2 linked regions of the Oryzias latipes genome follow. The protein of the gene in region 1 purifies or fractionates together with the protein of each later gene. This does not show direct contact. Links are inferred from orthologs where the notes say so. Each region holds a gene or a part of one and is shown on either strand. Other genes may lie near its edges.

Region 1 (5,134 bases):
GGAGGACTTACCCATATCTAAAATGTGTAATCATTTATCCTGCGTGCAATCTTTCATGCAATACTATTTCATCTTTTAATGGAATAGGAATTGTGTTTTGACAGGGGCATTTAGATGGTTATTTTTTTCTAGTTTTGCACCAAGGGGAGAACCACTGCCCCATTTTCACTGAGCTAACGTACGATGACGATGAAGACTCTAAGTCTTAAGGATGCATGTGACCCACATGAAAAAAGCCTCGTCAGCCTTCAGTCCACGTGAACATGCATGTGCATGGCTCTGACCCAAACACAGACAAATCACAGCCTCATCAGCAACAGGGTGGGTGGAGCCTCCATCAGCAGGTCTGGCTCTCCTGCTGAGTGATGGAGCCATGATGGAGCAAAAAAGGCAAACTTTCTGCAGAAATGGGAGGAATGCTCAAGCAGAAGACCACATGAAGATGAAGATGCAGCTGACAGCAGACCCAAATGCCTCCAAGCATCCATGAGATTCTAGCCACACCTGCTCCAGATAAATACCTTTTGATTTACAATCCTCCCCTTCTTGAATGGAGGGATCTGAGTGGAGAAAACAGACTTTAATGCATTTCAGTGGATCACATGGCTCACAGAAGTAAGTGCAGTTTCTTTGTGCCGCGATACAGATCCACCCAGCAGCTTTCTTCTGTCCTCTCCATTTCTTGTCACCAAGTGTTCTTAATGTTCCACAACAGCCATAACTATTGAAGAAGCACCGTCTGAACTTGGGCAGACTCAGTGTGAGAGGGTGCCATCTTTTTTTAAACCGTTTTAGGGGAAAGTTGCACTGAGGGTGAAAGCTTCCACAACTCCTGTCCCAACATCTGACAGCTGTCATCTCATTGCCGGAAATCTCTGTGAACCTCAAAGACTGCACACCTCCACTTTTCTGTTTTTGACTGAATGCACACCGGCAACTTAATGGAGAATTCACTGAATCCACTGTCTCTGATATTGTACACTACCAAGAGTTTACATCTAGCTCCACCCTTTTCCCAACAGCGATGATCCTGTCAGTCCTTTTTCATACAACCTTCCCTCCATGATGAAAACACGACAACATGCTAATCTGTCTTTTCCATCTTTAAAGAGCCGCTCCAATGAAAATGGTGTTTTTACCACGTTCCTGTAGCCTTTTTCTCACGATGGGGGACGTATATAAAATAACCGAAGGTTAAATGTGCTTTTCTGAGTTTTTCTTTATTCAAATTGGGATGCATCAAGAGCAGATTAAAAATGACATTTGTAAAAGCTCCTAGTTGTGATTTATGAGAACTGAAAGCGGCGGGGCCACCAGCTTCCTGCTCTGCTCCATTCTGATCATCCACTGTCAGACCAACAGATCCATGAACGTCTGTGTTTTCCTGGTCTGAGCTGGAATCTGGATCAGAACTGGACGACTGGATGGCTCTATTACTGCTCACCATTTTTGTTGCCCCGTTGGGGAAGAGCGGGGCTGTAAGCTAGCAGGAGAGGATGTAAACAGTTGGATGATGGGAAGGGGAGGGCCACAACTCTGACGTGAATTTCTAATGAACTCCTGCCGCTCTGCAGAAACTATGTTCTAGAAAACAACACAAGGGCATCATCATAATGAAAAGACCCCTGGGAATGCTATGGAAAGAGATCAGAAGATGATGGGAGTGGGACTTTAAACCAAATAAGAAGCAGTGGTGGAGCAAGCTCTTCCAAAACTTCAGAACATTTCCTGCGTAAGTTTCTGATTCATGAAGCCGTGCTGCAACCAAACATCTGGCCATGACTCAGAGGTAGAGCGGTCAACCTCTGACGGCAGGATCACCGGCTCACTTCCAATCCTGCCCACCAACGTGTTTTCCAGAGTCCTTGGGCAGAGCGTTCAACCCCACATATATATGACCATGTCCATGTTTTAACAGCACAGAAACTATTGATTTCTGAAGAACATCATGAATCCCTCTTTCCGGTGGCAAAACCTTTCAAATATGATTGGATGGTTTATCTGGAGACATTTTAGCTGTTTGATGCCATATATTGTCCATCTAAGAAGACCAAACAAACAAAGTAACACGCTCCCATCATCAATCACATTCTAATAGTTCAAGCTGTTGTCGTTTCTCCTGCAGTCATGAGTTATTGAGCTGCTCTGATCACCATTTTAAAGATAATTGCAAATATTCATTATTTTGACCAAACCTTTTTAAAAACTCAATTTATCTCTCACGGATACACCGGGGGTGGGCGATCTAAACCCCCACCTCCCGCAGACACAGACTGCAGCTCCCGTCATCACTGGATTCAGACTTTAGCCATAAACTGAAAGTGATGCGGCAGACGGTACGCACGCTGCTGCTGCTCTAGGGCCAGCTTGCACTTGTAGTAGCTGAAGAACTCGCCGCCAAACAGGAAGGAGAACTTGGGGTTGTCCTTCTGCTTGTCCATGGTCATCTTTTCAAACTCGGGTCCATTTCGGGCCACAAACTGGGCCAGCTTGTCGATGACGTTCCTCAACTCTTGATCTGCAAAGAGGACAGAGGAGGATGAGCAAGGAGAAGACACGGCCTCCTCCCATTCAGCATACCGATTATATAACATTGATGATTATTCCCAATTCCTCTCATCCGCTCATCATCTCTCAGACCTGTTCCAACTTAGTGGGTCCAAACTTTCCATCAAATCTGAACCAAAAGTAAATGAACGTGTAAAATGTCAGTTAGAATCCGACCGAGGGTTCGTTCGTGCGTTTTCAGATGAAATCACTGGGCTTTTCAGCTGGTTCCGATAGATTTTAGCCACAGTTCTGTATGAAGCCGGTTCTCCGTGAACCTCAATTGTATTGGTGTCAGCTCAGAATCACATAACTGCTCTGTATCGGTTCCGAACAGCTCATGTGACCGCTTCAGATTTTTTACGTTAAGTATGATTATGAAGCCGGAGCCGAGAGGCCTGCTGTGCTTTCACGTGGGTCTCCGCCAGTAGCTGGAATGATGAAAACGAGGAGAACCAACACCCCGGGGGATTACGAGATCAAACGCAGGGAGGTACGGTTCTAAAAGGTTCTTTGTTGCGCGCGGTTCCTTACGTCAAAAAAGTGCCGCGCGCTCAGATAAGAATAGCTAGCGGTCCCGACCAGAGCTGATCTGACGCTCACCTTCAGGCGGGTTAGGGATGTCCATGGTGCGCTGAGCTGGGGCAGACCGGGCTGATTTGGGTCACAAGCGCCCCTTTTACACCATAAGTTGTGAGAAATGTTAACAACAACAGGAGGCGCTTAGCCGCCGTAGCATACCGGAAGTTCCCTCGGATGCAGCTGCAGATGCCACAGCGCCCCCTGCCGCGGAGGAGGAGGAAAGACAGAAGACTGATTCCGGATCCTGCGTGAAGAGAACGCTTTCATACAAATGTAGTAGGTCCGTCAGTAAAAACAATGTTGCAGGGTGGATGTGAACATGAAATTGCAATCCACTCTTTGCAATTTCCTTTTAATTATGACACAGAATAAGCGGGTTTTTAATTAGAAATTAAAAAGCATTTTGAAGGATTGATTTTTCATTTTAATTTTGAGTAATTTGATGCAGTTTCATTTTGAAAATGAAAAAGCATTTCTGGTTTTGACTTTTATTTGTAAGTATGCTACAGAATCGCTTCCATACCCAAAAACCCATTGTATATAACTTGGTGCTTGTTTTCTTCCCAGCTAGAACAGTAGAAACGCTTTTCCTGCTCGTTTGAAATGGTTCCTTCCATTAAATCTAATAAACATTTTGGGCAGGAAAGTTTTTGCTAATTTTAAAACTTTATTTAGAAAAATCATATATTATTCATTTTAATGACTAGTTGCTGTATTTAAAGATACCACATTTTTTGCTGGCTAATTCTTTATAAAACAGTTAAAATGTGTGTATGTAAGTTGAGAAAGCGGGTAATAAATAAGGTGTTTTTCGCCATAAAACTGATGTAAATATTTTTGCATCTTTAAAAGTGTTGTGAGAAAAAACTTACCAACTCACCAAATATATCACAATTGATACTATATATCTCTCATCAAAAGTTATCTTGCATAATTTGTTTATGGATTTTATCAAAAGGTTCAAAAAAACATCTTAATTCTAAAAAAAACTCAAATTTTCTTTCAGTTCTTTGATGTTTGGGCTTTACTGGGATAAAGTGCAAATCAAACATGAAATATGTGAGTTCTTTATAATGTTTGATGCTTGTTCTTAGTATCTCATTGTGTTTTGCTTCTCCTGGCAAATTTGGTATTAACTCTAATGCAGAAAATAAACAAGCAAACAAAGACATAAATTCAACCTCCTAACTTGGTTTGTGGCCACACTCTCAGAAAATAAAACAAATTCTTTTAAAAATCATTTATGGATCAAGGGCTGGATGGTGGGGCAGCGGTTAGTTAGCTGGTTTGAATCCCAGCCGGGACCATTCAGTCTGGAGTTGTTCTCCTTAAGCATGTGTGGGTTTTCTCTGAAAACTCCAGTTTCCTTCCACAGTTTAAAATAGGTTCATTGGTGTTTAGTCTAAATTGTCCAAGGGCTTCAAAAGTAGCTGGTAGGCCGTAAAAAAAGTACCGCCTACAAGTGAAGCAGCCACCGCCTACTGTTGGATGACGAACAAAAGTTTCACTTAAATAATCCAAATAATCCATGATTGATGTAATAATAAATTCATCTTCACTTTGAGAAATATTCTGCTCCTTTTGATGAACTGTTTTCACGCTCTTCTCATTGACTGAGTAGGTCTGACATCACCTCTAGAAAATAGCTTCCCTCAGGCTCCAACCAAATGACGTTGCCATGTTGGAGCCTGATGGCAGTGATTGGTCCAATGTAGCCTGAGTCATTGTTTCTATGGCAACTGCTGGAACCAACCATGAGTAAGCTTGTTCAAAGTCCATACCCCTTCCACTGAAAGTGGCTTGGGGGAATCTGTCAATCAAATGTTCAAGGTGGAGGCCAGTGGGCACTGCATGCTTTCACTAAGGCCTCTGATTGGTCAGTTTATTACTTGAATAATTTGTGAAAAAATATGAAAAAAAAAAAGATTTGTAAGTAGATGTTTAAAAATGTATCAGAGCCAGAATGGTTATTCTGACCAATAGAATGACTGAGTAATAGTTGTTT
Region 2 (4,357 bases), on another chromosome or scaffold:
TTTATTTTAGTTTAGTCTGTTTATTTTAGTCTGTTTATTTTAGTTTAGTCTGTTTATTTTAGTCTGTTTAGTTTAGTCTGTTTAGTTTAGTCTGTTTATTTTAGTCAGTTTAGTTTAGTTTGTTTAGTTTAGTTCGTTTTGTTTTGTTTAGTCTGTTTAGTTTAGTTTAGTTTAGTTTAGTTTAGTTTAGTTTAGTTTAGTTTAGTTTAGTTTAGTTTGTTTCTATAGGGGAACCTTTAGAATTGGTACTTCATTGGTACGTCATTCATCTCTGCAGGAAACTACTGTTCCATTTGAGCACAAAGATCTGTGGCTGTTAGAATGAACCAGCTGCTCTCTGAGCAGAGCAGCTGGAGTCTCGTAGCTGCAGGCGGGGACGGTTCTTTGTTTCAGTGTTCGGACCGGAGAAGCGTTCTGACCGCAGTCCGTACGGCTGCAAAGGCACTTGATCGTAAAAATACTAGAAGCGTGTTTAGAAGATGATCTCACTCCGTGTCGGAGCTCTGCTTGTTTACAACAGACTGCATAATATTTTCTTCTATGGTGGTATCGTTATTTGTCCAGACCAATGACTATCTGACACGTCATCGGACCAACGAACAGCCAATCACATAATGGGACGTCAGCACTAGTCCCAGGACCCCGAACGGGTGTTGCAGGCTGAATGGTTAAGGTCCCTACACCGCTTCTTTTCGCTTTAGAATTTCGTGAGCTGAAGCTTCAGGGATAAATTAATTCTGGGGACAGGGCCTTTGCTGTAAGAGCCCCAACACTCTGGAACAGTCTCCCTGAAGAGATCAGGCTCGCTGGGTCCCTACCAGTATTTAAATCTTTTTAAAAATTTACCTCTACAGGTGTGCTTTTAAGGATTTTACTGGTTCTTAAATCTAAACATTTGATTTTATCGATTTCATTGTTTTTTTCTTGATTTTCTTGATTTTACTGATTTATCGATTTTATTGATTCTAACCACTATCACCATTTCATATGTGTACTGGGTTTTATTTCTCCATACTGGAAACTGTTTTTAATACTGGTTTTGTTTCATATTAATTGTACAGCCCTTTGTAATCTGGATTTCGAAACAGTGCTATATAAATAAAGTTAATATTATTATATTATTATAGGTCGAAGAGAATCATCACTAAGAGCTTTATAGTGACTTAAAGAAGTAGTGTGAAGTATCGTTTGAAGCAGCACTTCTCATGGCTGTTTTAGGAACTCTTCTTTTTTCCTGTGCACATTTGGAGCTCCCGTCTGTCTGTCTGTCTGTCTGTCTGATGGCTCGTTTCCTCTCATCCGTTTGTGTTTTGGTGTTCAGAGGAAGGAGACAACAGGAAGTTGGATGGTGGGGGCAAACTGACAGGTTTGTACTCGGGTCCAGTCAGAAGGGACCAGGGAACTTGCAACATGAAACAGTAAAGTCTTTTCCCTAAATATGATCCGAATGTGTCCTGTGACGGAACCTGTCCAGGCTGAAAGCCGCCTTTGCCCAGCAGTAACTAGGATAGGCTCCAGCAACCTAAAACCTAACCTAATGATTTCTAAAAGCAGACACCATGATCATTCTTTCCCCCCCTTTAAAAATACAACGTCACCAATTTCCGTAATAAAATCCGAACAAATACAAACATTTTACGAAGATTGATTGTGATTCAACTCTTGTTCTGGTGATGGAAGCTTGGATGGTCCATGAAAAAATGTATTAAAAATACTATTTTTTTCATGAAAAATCGCTCAAACGCAATGCATTGTGGTCTATATTCACCAACCTAGTGAGCAGTGATGTAGATTGCTTTTTTTGTTGTTGTTGTTTTTCTTGCTGAGACTTCTAGGGCGATGGAATTTAAGAAATTGTAGATTCGGACGTCCCAGTAAACTGGTGCCATGCCCCGTATGGTGCGCGGTGAAGGAGTTCGGACACAAGCTCTTTGTCTTAGACTCTGGGGATGAAGTGTTGGTTGCCAGGCAACCACTCAACCCTCAGAAGTGAGTAAAAAAAAACAAAAAAACAGAGAGGGGCTGGAGAACGGAGCGGAACGGCACCGTCTGCTCTGTGGACGACGATGAACACAGAATTTTATTAAAAGACGTCATTTTATTTTTAACCCTTGTGCTATCTGGTGGGGTCCAGATGACCCCACTCCCAACGTGCCTCCAGAAAGCACAAGGGTTAAAAAGTGAAAATTTTTCCGTTTCTACAGCATAAACCTAAAGCTGGCGTCTGTTTAGTGAGAATGACTGTGTGGAGAGCGGTGTAACCCTTCCCTTGGTCTGCCCCACTTTCTGCGAGCGGTGATGTAAGCCCGGTTCTGCCGGTGCCGCAGGGAAGCGCCTGGGTTGCTGGGCCACAGATGATATAACACCTCAGGGAGCCGAGGCTCACCTTCTTTCTGATCTGGGCCGACTCATTTAGAACGGTTACGCCTTCGCCGGCGTTACCGGAGCGGTTATGAAACCAGAGCCTCGAGCGCCCGTCCGCGACAGTCACCTTTGATGGCGGACTCCACCCTCTCGAACTCTAGGAAGATCCGGACCGCCTCGTCGTCGGGAACCTCTGCGATCTGACAGGAGAGCAGAAGTCTTTCAGGCGCCTCTTCAAACCCCCTTTCCCCTCCGTCCGGGACGCTCCGTCTCACCTCAAATATGACACATTTCACCACTTTGCCGTATTTCTCGCACTCCTCCTTCGTCTCTCCTTCCAGGTCTTCGTCCACCTCCCCTCGGCCCACCATGTTCTGCAAAACACGAGGCGGTTTTCAGCTCCCAGGAAAGCCCCGCGGACTCTGAACGGACGCGATTCGGAGCACCAACCCGTAGCAGGACCACTTTGGTGGGATTCTTCAGGATCTCCGTGAGCGGATTCGACTCAGACTTTTTGGAGGCATCCGCTGACGGACGGAGGAAGAAAACAAACAAACAAACAAACGGTTATTACAAAGAGATGAAGGCAAATGCTGATGTGAGGACGGAAGGGGTGGATGACGGGTACATTTATCAACAGCGAGCTAAATGTGGAGCTAAACAACAGGAAGCATCACTGTAGAAACCCACTCTGATGAACGTGGCGTTTCTGATGATAGAGGACACAGTTAAAGACAACTAGAAGGAGCCAATACAGGTTGAATGTTTTACTTCAGAATGAAAATGAAACTCTAAAGGTAATAATTGGCAAAAAATAAAGAAAGACATGATCAAAGTTGACCATAAATAAAATGAAAACAGCACAACAACAATCCTGAAAAATGCCAGAGCCGGGTATCGAACCAGCGAGCTTATGCACCAAGGATTCCAAGTATTTCAATGGAGGCAGAAACCCTGGAAATCCTGGAATATCTGGAAAAGTTCAAGGATTTGAAGAGCTGAACATTTGAATAGTTGAATGGTTAAAAAAAAGTAGCAGAAGGAGATAAGCTGCAAAAATGAATAAAATAAAGAGAGAGAAACAGGAAAACGATGGTTGAAGGCTTGATTCAACCCATTAAGGTGGAAATTGCATTTGTGAGTATTTCTTTATTCAAATCGTTAACAAAAGAAAGTAGTTGGAAGAAGATCCTGTTGGTGACGTAGAAGCTACCATCTCCCTGCTCCCCTCAACCCCCCCCCCCCCCCCCCCCCCCCCTCAGAACCGAATGGCCGGACAGCTCCAACATTCTGTTGCACCGGGAATGTTAGGTTGGGGGGGGGTGGAAGGGGTTGTAAGCTATTGTGGGAGAGTTTAAACAAAGTACTCAGAGGGGGCCGAGTTGCTTCAAACCAAGATTCCCGCCTACAACTCGTAGTGGGGTTTAAAACAAAAACAACCACAAATCCGAGACACCACATAGTCTTTTAGGGGTTAAGGAGGGAATTCAAACAGAAAACCTCCCATCGAACCTCTCTGACCAATCCTCTGCCTCTTGGCGCCTCTGGGCATTCTGGGTAGTTTAGTCAAACACATTAAGGATGAAGCTTTCTTTGGCTAATTTCAAATAAGAAACGCAACATATGGGACTTTAACGAGCGTGGAGGAGTTGGTCAAAAGATTAATAAGTAAGGGTTAATGGCTGACGAAGTGTTCATTATCAGAAATGAACGCACGCCGTGGAAGCCTGAACCATGTGACGCGATGCGGGACGAAACAGCTGTTACCGACTGGAACGCTGAAAGGTTTTAGGAGAATCTGGATGTAAAAGACAGCCGGACACGCCTCCATTAGCGGTTCTGGCTGGATGTGCTTGTTAAAAATGCAACAACAGCAAAAAAAGATGGGAGATGAGAGGAAGAGGAGCCAACACAAGCTGGAGGCACGCCTCCTTATCTGGGAGAAATAAAAAGAGATGTCCTGACCTGCAGCGCCCCCGCCTGGTATTTCTGC

What was found. Proteins that work in one complex are often made in the same cells at the same time.
Region 2: the proteins of cherp (region 1) and rbm17 purify together in Homo sapiens (co-immunoprecipitation; 4 studies listed by BioGRID and IntAct, counting the BioPlex papers as one, with this or other methods). This does not show direct contact. The link is inferred for Oryzias latipes from reciprocal best matches to the Homo sapiens genes CHERP and RBM17.

What each region holds. Positions count from the first base shown.
Region 1 is NC_019862.2:1,435,856-1,440,989, reverse strand, and holds the start of cherp (calcium homeostasis endoplasmic reticulum protein), read right to left. Parts: upstream 3,363-5,134; 5' UTR 3,176-3,362; coding exon 3,151-3,175; intron 2,519-3,150; coding exon 2,345-2,518; intron 561-2,344; coding exon 522-560; intron 1-521. UniProt on the Homo sapiens protein: Involved in calcium homeostasis, growth and proliferation.
Region 2 is NC_019881.2:3,094,790-3,099,146, reverse strand, and holds part of rbm17 (splicing factor 45), read right to left. Parts: coding exon 4,330-4,357; intron 2,892-4,329; coding exon 2,815-2,891; intron 2,739-2,814; coding exon 2,640-2,738; intron 2,565-2,639; coding exon 2,492-2,564; intron 1-2,491. UniProt on the Homo sapiens protein: Splice factor that binds to the single-stranded 3'AG at the exon/intron border and promotes its utilization in the second catalytic step. Involved in the regulation of alternative splicing and the utilization of cryptic splice sites.